2 linked regions of the Oryza sativa Japonica Group genome follow. The protein of the gene in region 1 purifies or fractionates together with the protein of each later gene. This does not show direct contact. Links are inferred from orthologs where the notes say so. Each region holds a gene or a part of one and is shown on either strand. Other genes may lie near its edges.

Evidence for each region. Proteins that work in one complex are often made in the same cells at the same time.
Region 2: the proteins of cullin-4 (region 1) and E3 ubiquitin-protein ligase COP1 purify together in Arabidopsis thaliana (affinity purification with western blotting, with the first as the bait; 3 studies listed by BioGRID). This does not show direct contact. The link is inferred for Oryza sativa Japonica Group from reciprocal best matches to the Arabidopsis thaliana genes CUL4 and COP1.

What each region holds. Positions count from the first base shown.
Region 1 is NC_089037.1:33,641,593-33,648,084, reverse strand, and holds the start of cullin-4, read right to left. Parts: upstream 4,424-6,492; 5' UTR 4,264-4,423; coding exon 3,885-4,263; intron 2,764-3,884; coding exon 2,648-2,763; intron 2,574-2,647; coding exon 2,227-2,573; intron 1,804-2,226; coding exon 1,623-1,803; intron 1,528-1,622; coding exon 1,405-1,527; intron 1,207-1,404; coding exon 919-1,206; intron 472-918; coding exon 346-471; intron 1-345. Other genes in the region: tRNA (guanine(26)-N(2))-dimethyltransferase 1, read right to left, coding at 5,511-5,825, 5,906-5,983, 6,114-6,308. UniProt on the Arabidopsis thaliana protein: Component of the CUL4-RBX1-CDD (COP10-DDB1a-DET1) E3 ubiquitin-protein ligase complex which mediates the ubiquitination and subsequent proteasomal degradation of target proteins. Participates in the CDD complex to light-mediated control of development.
Region 2 is NC_089036.1:33,025,407-33,031,898, forward strand, and holds the start of E3 ubiquitin-protein ligase COP1, read right to left. Parts: upstream 3,584-6,492; 5' UTR 3,239-3,583; coding exon 2,897-3,238; intron 2,283-2,896; coding exon 2,205-2,282; intron 1,732-2,204; coding exon 1,576-1,731; intron 1,461-1,575; coding exon 1,101-1,460; intron 963-1,100; coding exon 808-962; intron 705-807; coding exon 639-704; intron 277-638; coding exon 198-276; intron 106-197; coding exon 1-105. Other genes in the region: probable transcription factor At1g11510, read right to left, coding at 5,781-6,492. UniProt on the Arabidopsis thaliana protein: E3 ubiquitin-protein ligase that acts as a repressor of photomorphogenesis and as an activator of etiolation in darkness.

The sequences.
Region 1 (6,492 bases):
CTTTTATTTGTTACTACGTACTAGTAAATTTTATGTGCATTAGCTTCTCCCAGAAGCTTCATACAGAGGACTATAGGTCTATAGGACTCTATAAGAATGACATATTATAACCATGTTTGTGAAGGACCAGACCTATAGCATCATCTTCAATGCAATGCTTAAACCATCCGCCCACATGCTCATGGAAATTGTTTTTCTTTAATATGATCACCATATAGGGAGTTTTACTATTTTATACAGTTGACTAGTTGAAAAAGGAGGTGTCCCACATGTATAACTGAAATTGAAAGAACAAGATGCTGACAAAGAAGAAACTTAGTGATATAAAATAACCTAGTGACTTACTTGTATAAATCGGAACAGAACCAAAACTTTATCCAATATTCCCTCCAGCTCTTCTTCGGAGGTACCTTTATTTCCAGCTCGAAGTTTCTCATCAAGAAACTTCGCAATCAATTCAGCAGGTCGATTCTGTTGGAAAAAAGGGCTTGAGCTGATCTTTCATAAAATAAAACATAGTACAAAGAAAGAAAATGCAGGATAAATTACACATCTACTTAAGTACAAAAAAGCAACTAGATAACAATGAACATCAGAAACAAAATGTATTGGTACCAGCATATCTCAAATCTAAGAATTGAGCTTTCTGTTTATCAAGTATCACAGCCAAACTGGACTGCGATAGGAAACCAACATAAAGCAATATGTACAAGGACAGCACAGTTCTTAAACAAATGGCCAATATCAACATGTCCCAGCAAGTCAAAAATCAAAGAATCAAACAGTTTAGCAGGCTATAAAAGGGAAGACTGACTGTAGTAGGAAAGCAAATTACAAAATATTGTGATATAAGATATGAACTCAGTACACAAGAAAGGAAAAAAAATATTGTCAAGCAGAATCATAAATATGGCCTACCTGGCGTAAATTGATAAGATGTTCGAATGACTCTTTTATTGTATTGGAGAAAGCCTCATTTTTGGCAAAACTTTCCTCCAATATTCTATCAAGCGATGCCTTAAATTCCAGAAGAAAGGGCACCAGTTCTTTGTCCTTTTCTTCATCCATGATAATGCCCTGGCCTGTGCCCCGAATATATGAACTAAGTGCTTGCTTTAGCAACTCAATGGCATCAACCCTCTGGAAGAGTGTGTACATCCTCGAGAGGTCTTTTACACGATTTGCTTCCATAAGCATTGTGAATCCCTGAACAGTAAAACATCATATGCCAGGTCATGAATGAGACAGTGGCTAAACTAAATTAGTGGCCAACAAATATAATATATTGATAAAGTAAACACCTCTTTTCTATATATTGATCTAATGGGTCAACTAGAAAATGCACCATCACATTCTTATTCTGGCCAGATAACAAATCCTACAGTTGTAAGAGCAGATAATCACCTTCTCAAGAATTGCAGATGTGTGCCGCTGCAATAATTGCTTTTCTGTAGCTGTTATAAGCGGCTTCCTAGTGTTAGCTTCCAAATATAGAATACACCTTTCATGTTCTTCTTGCAACCTTGTCTGAATAATTCATGTGAAATACCACCAATTGCATAAGTATACCTGAATTTTGTGTGAACAAAATGCAAGGGGAAATACAAGAGGTTTATCAATACCTCCACATGCTTGAGATAGTCTGGAATATCAGACTGCTGCAAATATTTAACACCTTCAGTAGCATAAAATTCAGATGTACACTCCAGAAAGGGCTTTTCAAAACTCTCAGAATACATTCCAAGAGCAGTAAACATCTTCAGAAGATGACTAAGTAATGTCCTGTCTATTGCTTCACCAAGCCTGATAAGGAAGAGATGGTTAATGAATAATCAGTTACATAGAAGAATATAAAATAAATTGACCCTTCAAGTCCACAATTTTAATAATTTAAAATGGACCCAATACATACACTATGATCGCCAGCTACATCACACAAGGTAAATGCAATGACAAAACTTTTCTCAAGTAAACTGATTACTCTTTGATATGTAATGGAGTATACAATACATTGCACTAAGTCTGATAAGGGTACTTTTTACAGTTGACCATTCAACCCAGATCTCTGAACAATTCCCAAGTGAATCAGAACATGCATTACAAATTTTCATCATTCCATGTTTACGCCCACCCCCACCCCCCCCCCCAAAAAAAAAACACACACACACACACACAATAAGACAGGTAATGCACACAACATGGCTCAGTACAGCAGAGTAGGCATACCTCTCACTCTCAATTAATCTTAGAAGACCAGTAACAGTTTTGTGTTCAATCTCCGGAGACAGTGAAAGATGCTTGCGGAATAGCTTCAACCCCATGTCCCACACTGAACAAATGTTTGCAACATTCTTGACATATTTTACATCAAGAAGTAAAGCAATACCACGAATAATCAACATCTGATCGCAAAAATCTTGCCATGTTCTTTGCACCAGAGACAAAAATACTACTAAATCTGGACTTTGACCCACTAATGCTGATATTTTTGCCGATATGTGTACTTCACATTCTTTCTTTATGCGTTCGTATAGATTTGCGCCTAGCTTGTGTAGACAAAGGTCACCTGCAGCCTATAGTGAAGAAAACAAGTTCTAAATAACTAAAGTGGGATCATCAAATAGAATAGAAGCAATATAAAAATTACCTGGTAAAGTTTTTCAACATCGCACGAAAGTTTCTGTTTTAGAAATATAGCTGTAATAGCATCTTTCAAAATAGCCCATGTATCCTCCTCAAAGTTTGTTGGCAATTTTGGCTGACCTGATACATGAAAAACAGATGGGATATAATGAACAAAACAGAAAAGGGATGCAACAAGAGACGAATTCCGGGGTGGGAGTAAATCTTTAGTTCTTGTTCGGCAAATGGGTTATGAGAGGTGGGATCGGGAAAGGGAAATGAGTGAAGGGCTACAATGAAATGGAGTGGTTAGAATGGATGGCTAGGATGCAGTGTTGCATTTTTTATGGGTGGATATTATTTCCCAATCTCATTTGCCAATCACGCCAAAGGGTTGCAAAAAATACATCCAGAAGATCCCAGGGGTCTATTATCTAAGAAAGAACATATGGCCTTCTGAATTTTCTTATACAGGTTACTAGTTAGTTATGGTGGGTACTGATTAGTGAATAGTGACTGGTGCAGGGATTATTATTATATATGACTCAGAAATGAATAGATATTAAAGGTTAGAGCCACTGCAACATCCATTGCACAGAAACGGATTTTCAGCTTTCTCCTGAAGACTAGAGAAGGTCACATACTGGAGATGCGAAGCAAAGCTTCCAATAAATACCGACAGTTACACCCAATAAAGAGACAAAAGAGTGTCAACTTTTAAGCAATCTAGCTAGAAGCCAGCTCATATGGTGCAATACGACCAAATGGGGAGCAGGAAGTCAGAAGAACCATACAACTATGCCCAAGCTCACTTGTCAACTGCATTAAAAAAGGCAGAAATCCTTGATGCATATTCACGCCCAACAAAGCAAGCCAAGATAAACAAGCAATTACAAGGAATTGAACATACATATATATCTCAAGAGAAACTAGACGGATTGTTGCTGACGAAATCATTAGTTACCCTAGCAATTATCAATTTCCCCCAAAATAGTCCAAGTGTCTAGCCAAATTCCTCTTTACAAATAGACACGCCAATTAGTAAATAGAAAACAGAAGTGTGTGACGAAGCGATCCATTTGACGAAAGGGCTAACGAACACCACCTCAATCCCTCCCTATTATTGGAATTTAAGTTAACGACGCAAGCGGGCAAGTGAACACACTGAGAGGAACAATAGAATTCCCCTCAATTTACCCCCGAAACCCCTCGATGATGTATTCTCACATGGAAAACGTGCAATTACAGTGAAAGAGAGGGACCTATTTTGATTCGGAGGGGCTTGCGGGCGGCGGATGGCTGGGGGAGTGTGGCCTTCTTCCGGAAGAGGTTGGCGGCGACCCCCGCCGGGGCCGATGCGCTCGGAGCGGCGAGCTCCTCCTGGTCGGCGAGCACCATCTCCGCATCCTCCTCGCCGTTGGTGCGCCCACCGGTCCGGGCGGCGGCGGCCGTGGGATCGACGTGGAGCCCGTTCTTCTCGGTGACCCCGGGGGCGGCGGCGGAGGAGGAGGAGGAGGAGGAGCCGGGGAACTTGGCCTTCTTCATGTGCGGCTGCGCGGGGGAGGTCGGGGAGGAGGCGGCGGCGGAGGAGGAGGAGAAGTGGCCGGGGCGCTTGGGGGCGGTGGCGTGGGGGTGAGACATGAATCAGATGCCGAAGCGCATGGCGCGGCCGCACCGGCGGCGGCGGCGAGGCCCGGGGTAGGATGGGTGGTAGGTGGCGGCGCGCCGGGGTTTTGGGGGTGAGGCCGCCGCACGCCGGCGAGGAGGAGGTGGGGGAGTGGAGACTAGAGAGAGAGAGATCGGGTTGGGGGAGGAAGGGTTTCCCCTTTTCTTTTCTTTTTTTTCTTTTTTTTCCTTTTTCTTTTTCTTTTTTTTATTTTTTATTAGGTGGGATTTGCGAGGCCGTAGCGGCCCAAATTAAGAGTGAGAATGTGGGCCTGGAGTTCCACGCGGCCCAGTTTCCTTTTGTTCTCATTAGCCCAATTCTGTTGCCGCCGCCTTGCCCTCGCCGCCTCTGCCTTCTGTCGAGAACTCGAGATCGAGAATTCGAGATATCCACGCGCAGTCAGATATGGAGAACTATAATCTTCATCCCTTTGACGGGATCTTCTTTCGTTTGTTCAAAAAATTCATCCAAACGGTTATAAAAAAATTAGCAACACTTGTACTACATGCCTACTGTACAACCTCACAAAATCTCACGTACAGACTCAACTCACGCATCGAAATGTTAAAAAAAAAACTCAACTCACGCATCAAAATGTTAAAAAAAAAAGACAAATTCAGGTATGACTAATAGCTATTGTTTACATCTGATCGAATTTAAACTTAATTTTTATACCCATAGACACCGTTATGTATGTTGTTAATTCCTTTTAGAATTTTTTGTAACTATCTACATTAAATTTGGAAGAGAGAAGAGAAAGATATAAATTAAGTTGTGTTCAGGGATTAGAATCCATTCACACGCAAATACCCTACCTGTCTTCGTCGTCTTTCTGTCTGATTCGCCGGATTCGCGATCATTGCCTCAGCCTTTGGTACAGGGAAGGAATGCACCCACAGAAGTTACAAAAAGGTTCAGGCAGAAGAATAATACAAAATGAAACCCGTCCAATTTAAGCGCACAAAAAAAAAACAATTGCATTGCATCCCATAGTCTTCACCCGTTTCCTCACCATTTCTCGCTCAGCAGGCACACTGAATAAGCTTGGCCAGAAGCGCAAAATATGACAACAGATTTTTCGCGATCAAAATTCATTGCTAAAAACCGTTTAGCAACACAGCTGATAGATATACCCATCAGTCACACCCTCAAGAAAAGTGAAGCATTACAAACATGGAAGAATTGAGTGGTGAAAGCGAAACGTGCTCAGGTTCAGTGACAATTAAGGTTCGGTTGCCAATCCAACATCGCCGTTTTTTTGGCGCTTTGTTGAAGGTTCATCCTCTTCATTCGTTGCATCTCCTCCGGTTTCTGTCGTTGGATTATTTGGCTCGGCCACCTTTTCATCTTCGGTGCTGGCAGCACCGTTGATAACACGGTTGACAACGTCTGGACCTAACAGAGAAGCATGTTTACTTGTAATCTTCCGACCAGCTCTGATTTTGGGACCCCAATGACGTTCTGGGTTCGGAAGGAACCGCTTGACCTTCTTTGCTTGAGCCCTGCTGAGGGCAGCAGCCGCTCTAGAGAAATTTGCCTATGAAAACACAAAGGAAGTTAGAATGCCATCTAACTGAAAGGCATAAAAGGACTGCTGCACGTTCAAGAAATGCATACTTCAAGCTTGGGTGATTTTGAAAGGATCGCTGTCCCTACAGAGTCATGTGGTTGTTCCTTTACAGGATGATTCTTCACCTGTATGCGAATGTCACAATATTAGTCAGAATACTAAAAAAAAACAGCATTTCTAGTAAACTACCCACAATTTATACTAGCAAACACAATATGTTAGGAAAGTTATGGCAAAAGGAATAAATGAATGTACCCAGCAGCGCATGATGTCCCAAATAACATCCCAAGGGGCATCAGTTTTTAGTCCAAGTGGATTCACATGTGTGCTAGAAATCCGATAACCCGCATTTAGGACTGCAGATCGGAACAATACTGCAGATGGAGATGTGCATTTAACATTAGCACATATGTTGTGGAGACTGAAGAACAATGGGATGTCATGTAACTCCTGCATCACAATAATAACAAAATGAAGTTTAAAGAAAATTTTAAAGAGTTCGTAAACTATAAATAATTTCTCAAGAGTAAATGAGTGAGCCATGACAAACAAATGCAGAACTAGATGGCCAACTAATTTATTACTTGTACATGGTTTAACTAAATTACTGCACATTTGGGCAATAATTTTCCTG
Region 2 (6,492 bases), on another chromosome or scaffold:
TGCTATAACATTTTTTGAGTACTTGTTCCAGCTAAGGCAGCTGAGTTTAGATCTAGTAGCCATTTCAACAACTGGACAATGCACATCTGATGGTTCATTAACAACCTACGACATAAGATAGGCCAAATTTGAGTATTTTCAAATACTATACAGGCATATAGCTATGGCCAACATAAGATTCCTGAAAAAAAACTTACTGTAGAAAACTCGAAGACTTTGATGCGCTTTGAGACTCCAGCAGTAGCAAATAGCTCATCATCACGGTCAAATTCGATACTGCATTTAAGAAATATCAATGTGATTCCCTATTCTCATGTAAGGTAGGCGACTGAAAAACATATGAGATTACAGATAGACATGGAAATGAAAATTATGCACCAAAAAAACAGGCACAAACTTATAGTCATATTTTGTTCCTTATAATACATGATAAACATCAGCATTCAAGATTAGTGGATTTGTTTGCTAATTGAACATAGTTGAAGTTTGACTCATAGGAGCAATAGACCATCCCCCCTCCAACCAAAACCTCTCCTCAGCTCACTGCTGGCTTGAGGATTCAGCTATGACAACATCCACATTGCCAATAGCATGTTGATGCACATGAAATAAGGCACATATTTTGTAAAAGCACTAACCTTGATACGATATTTGCAGAGTGAAACAGATCTCCATGTCTTAGCTCCGCAATTACACGCAAGCGACTGAAGCATAAATGACAGAGAACAAAAGAATGATAAGCCAAATGAATAGGCATAACCACTACCATGATCATAATGTGCTAAAAAGGACAAATAATCAGCGGACCTATATCGTGTGAATGTTGTTAGCACAGACTGGAAATCCTCAAGTCCTGCATGATAACCTTCTTTATTTATTGTTACTATGTCTCTTTCCTCCAGCCTACGTGATTGTGCTCCGGTACGCCGTCTTTGAAGATAGTATTCTTGAAGCTCGTTAAACTGCAATATGCCCCATAGCACATTAGCATTTCATCTTACATCAAAACAAAATAAACATATAAGTTCCTAATCTAAGCTGTCTACATGCTTGCAATATGATAGTACCAAACTATCAAGCGCGCAATGGGAGAAACAAACCTGAGCTTGAACTCGCCTCTTCCGAGCAATAACGTTGCCTGATTGAATAGGGGCACTAGGAGGATCCGAGCAAGTGAGAACATCTCTCCTTTGAAATCCTTGATGACTAATTTGACCTTTCAAGTCAAGCTTCTTATTCTGTAAACCCCCTGGATTTGATGTACTAAGTGGTCCCCGAGAGTTGGGAGGAAAGAGACCACTAGGTTTATCCATAGGTGAGGGCCACATCTTTGATGCAGCAGGTTCATCCAAAAGCATGCGGAGCTTCATTGAGTACCTTTCTTTTGTTCGATATAATTCTAACCTATGTCTCTCCACAGCACTTATATCTTCTTTGATGTACTGTAGGTCAGTTTGAATCTGTGTAAAAAAGAGGTTAACATGATTAACAACAATAGACATCAGTAAAAGATTATTTATTGTTGTAGGTAGCAAGAAAAAAAACCTGCATACTGAAAAATACATATAGACAAACCTCATTCAGCTCTTCCAACTTTTGCTTTCTGAGGCAATGCAAGAAGACCAGCAATATTTGCATATTTGTTTCTGACTCTTGCTGTTCCATATGCCGCTTCTTCTCCGCGATCAAAGTCATAAGACTATCTAGTTCTTTAACCGCCATATCGTTTCCCTAGAAAAAGAAAGAAGAATTAAACTAAAACATATGATAGTGTTTGGTCATCATTCATCTATTACTTATTTAGAGAACGTCAGTTTTATGTTTGAATTTTGAAACAGATATAAAGTCAGCAAGGTAGTGCAAATCTATCTTCTGTGGTATACTTGGTTTATCATATGGACAATCCTTGTAACAGTTAAGAGGACGATAGAGATCATGTGGCTGTAAGAGCGAAGGAACAAAAGATACTTTGATATCGGTCACAGTAGCTTAGATTCTACAATTGATGCAAGAGATAAGCATGTTCAGTGTAGAACTTAATTACTACTCTGTACTACTTAGTTCTGAACTGAAGATCACAAGCACAGCTAAGGTACGGAAGCAAAATTTTCACAGTACATAAAACCATTTAGGAACATACCACTATGTTTAAGGAGCTATTGAAAGTAGACATTTTCAAAAGTAAAACATGTGAAGTGACTGACCTGTTGCAGTGCATATCGAAATTGGTCTATCGGTGATGCTGTCTTCGCAATTTGGCGAGCTGACATTTTCTTCAAGACCTATGCAGACATAAATGTGATAAACATGCTTAGAGATACATTTATACAATCCCAGTATCAAGTAACCAGTAATTACAGCTTGTTTTAAGTTTTAACAGAACTAGAGAAGAACTCTAGTGATGAACAAATTATATAATAGGTACTGATAACCAGAGCAGACATAGAACTAATACTGTCCACTGCTGGTGATTCTAAACAAAACTTACATTAACAACAAACTGTAATGTACCGTGCAAGTCAAATAAAACTGAGCTATCCAATCAGAACACCTGCTACTACTTCAGAAGCTACCACAAACAGTAGTACAATAAATCGCAGCTCAAGCGCTGAATACTGTTGAATAGTTGCTACAAACGAATCGAAAGGCATACTGTTGAATAGTTGCTACATTTGTTAAAATTGGTTATACCGGATACCTATCCCAAGCCACATCCAAAGGTACATTCAGTGACATTTCAATTTTTTTTTTTTGCGGGGCAGTGACATTTCAATTACAAAGCCCTGCGTTTGAAATTAGGATAGGCATCCAAAATTCCCAATCGATCGGCGGAATATGGAAGCCACGGCCAATCCATTATCCATCTCGGCTGTGTAAGCAGAACGAGCAAGCAAACCTTGTCGAGGAGGAAGTTGGGGTAGAGCTGCGCCTTGGTGAGGTAGTTGCCGCAGCAGGGGCAGTCGCTCTTGTGGCTGAGATGCGTGACGATGCACATGTAGCAGAAGCTGTGGCCGCAGGCGGTGAGGAAGGCGTCCTTGATGACCGCCATGCAGATCGGGCAGAGGAGGTCCCTGTCGGCCGCGGCCTCCCCGTTGCCCCCCGCGGAGGCGCGCGCCCCCGCATCCTCCTCCCCCTCCCCCGCCACCGCCAACGCCGCCGTGGACGCGTCCCCCGACGGCGCCTGCTCCTGCTTCGGCACCGATGGCACCAGCGCGCCGGCCACCGTCGAGTCACCCATGCGGCAGGAGGAGGCCGCCCTGCGGTGGTGAGTCGAGCAGGCGGCGGCGGTGGAGGCGGCGACTGGGCGTGAATAATTGCATACGAGGGGTGGGTGGTGGTGGTGGTGGTGTGGTGTGTGTGGGAGGGAGGGGCGGGTGGAGGAGGAGGGAGGGGAATTGGGTTCTGTGTGTGGGCGTGGAAGCGGAAGGGTGTATGGGTGGGAGGAGACCACGTCGGGGTCGGGGTAGCCTCGCGCGCCGCGGCGCTGCGGGCAAATGTGCGTACGCGAGGAGGCACGCACACGACGACGGCAAACTCCGTCTCCGTTCCTCTCGAAGGAAAAAACGAAGTTTGCCGGTCTCCCAATGGAACGCGTGCTTTCGATTTGCGCATTTAATCCGAGTAGTTTGGTTTGCTTAATCCGTGCGAGGAATTTGGCAGGTCGGGACGGACGCGTCGCGAAGCGACCGGGGGAGTGGTTAGAGTCCCAATTGTCCTCATAAATGAAAACCAAAAATTAAAATTTCAAACTTGAGAATTTTAGGTCGCTAAAACATCTCTGTAAATTACTACTACCTTCATATTTTAATATATGACGCTGTTGACTTTTTATCTAACGTTTGATCATTCGTCTTATTCACAAAGTTTATGTAATTATCGTTTATTTTATTGTGACTTGATCCATCATCAAATGTTTTTTAAGCATGACATAAATATTTTCACATTATCACAAAAAATTTGAATAAAACGAATAGTCAAATATTGATAAAAAAAGTCAACGGCACCATACATTAAAATACAATACGGAGGGAGTACTTTAATTTAGGTAACCGATGAGTAACCTTAGTTTCAGACGTGCTGGGTCCGGTTGTTATGTGGGTTACAAAACAGCGCTGCATTGAACAAGTGGGTGTGGTGAAATGGATGTTCTGTTAGAAAATTCTTGTAAGAGAAGATCATGCGTGTTTCTGGGATCATTCTCCGTGTAAAAAATGCATCATCTCCATGGCCAAATTGGCCACTGGATGCTATCACTGACCCGGTGCGTGAGCCCGTGGCCACCACACGAATTCTGTACGGCTGTACCGTATTACAGGCAAGGGTTTATATTTCCAATCGAGGTCCCGCTCCTGACCCTGTCAGTATAACGGTTTTCACGAAAACCGTCAAATTTCAAACAAAATTAAGAAGCCAAATTCTCAAGTTCCATTTGCCCGTCAATGAAAAATGATCAAAATCACCGAATTCCAACCGGAACTACCAGGATTTCAGTTGATTCGAACAGGAAACCACCGTTCCAGTGTTTTGGAAACCAAACAAAAGCATCTAAAACTCATTGGATTTGCTGAAAAGCCAAAGAGTAGCGTGGGAATTAATTGTGTTTTCTGAATATTTGGATAATAGGGGAAAATGTTTGAAATATGAGAAAATTCATGGAGATGATAGGAACATTGCAAACTAAAAGGATATCAAAATGGGGAAACCGTGGAAACGTGGGAAAATGTAAGAAATTAATAAAGAAATTCAGCATGACCTTTCCTACAATTTGACAACCTCACATTGAGAATAAGCGCAATGTATATTCATGAACACAAATACAAGATAATTTGAAGTCCATATCATTGACAATTAAATATGCATAACCAAATATATGTTACGCCATTAACATCAACACGCATAATATAAAGTACATCAACACAATACAAAGTACACCCACAATCAATACATACTGTAAAGTGCATAAACAACATAGTATAACAACAATACAAAGTCCATAATATAAAGTGCATACACAATCAACACATATTGTAAACCCTTCTAGATGTCTTTTTTCAATTTACCAATTCAGTTGTTGTCCAAAGAGCATTTTCATTCTACGCCTATATTTTTTGACATTTCATATGCATGTATTTACTACAAATGTAGGACTATTTACAAGTTATTTTTAAAATATTCTTCATAAATTTTCAATTCAAATTTGAAAAATTCTGAAACGATTCAAAAATTCCAACAGAATTTGCTTTCGCGCTGCGTTGAAACGTCAGAGTTGTGAAGTGTGAACCCTAATCTATCTGATCAAAGCCTTCTTTTTTTTTGGATTGATTTCATCCAGGAGAGATGTCAGCTAGACAGAGACGATCACTGATCACGCGACAAGTTGCCATATCAGAGACCTCAGGCTAGGGCAACACACTGCCAGCACTAACCCATACTTAACGAGGACTGGGGTTCAGTTTATAAAGGAGTCAAGAGTTCAGGACTGATTCGATGACCGATTTCAGTCTTGCTACATTCTATCACTGTCTGGAATGATAAGACAAACCAAAAACGAAATTTCAATGTTTTATACTACATCCTATCGATCTATCTGAACTGAGAAGAGACGCTGACTGAATTGCCTAGACAAGAACATAGAACATCCAACTCCATCACTAAGAAGCAAAATTTTGCAGGTAATGCCTGTTCACGATATAGTTTGCAGGTAATGACCAGGTACACTTTCTTATGCCATGGTAAGGAACGCCGAGCTACTACTGTTCACTTCAGTTCAGCTCACCTAGTCACTCGACCAGCTCAGCGAGCACCTTGGTCACCTCCTTGGTCAGGTCGCCACGGCGCAGCACCACCGAAATCTCGGCAATCCTCTGCTTCTTGATCTTCATGTCCAGCGCATGCGCCTTGTCGTCATCGAGCTTCCCGAAGTCCCTCTTGAACAAGCCAGGGTGTGCCGCCTCCAGCAACTTGACCTCCTCAGCGAGGTGCGGGTACAGCTCGCACATCTCGCCGAACTCCCTCGGCGCGGTGGTGGTGCCGTTCACCGCCGCCGCTGCCGCCTCGCTGCCCCAGACGCTCTTGGAGAGGTCATAGAGCCGGCGGTCATGGCCCTTGCTTGGGAGATCGCCCTTCTTCTTAGCGGTGGATTCGTAACGGCGCTTGAGAGTGCTGACCTTCCCCTGGAGCTCCTTGCGGCCGTAGCCAGTGTTGTCGAGGCTGCCGGCGAGGGTGGCGATGAGCGCGTCGGTCTGTGGCAGCGACCCGTGCTCCCGGCGGTGCGCCGCGAGCGCCTCGAGGATGCGCACCTCGTCCTCGGTCGACCAGATGCGGTGGAAGGCCTGCCTCTTGGGCGACGAGACCTTCGGGCCATTCCCCTCCGCCCCCTGCTTCGGAGCCGGATTCGGCGGCGGCGGCGGCGGCGCCTCCGCCTTCTCGGATTCGGACGACTCGTCCTCTTCCTCATCGGACGAATCATCCTCCTCGCGATTCTCCTGCGGT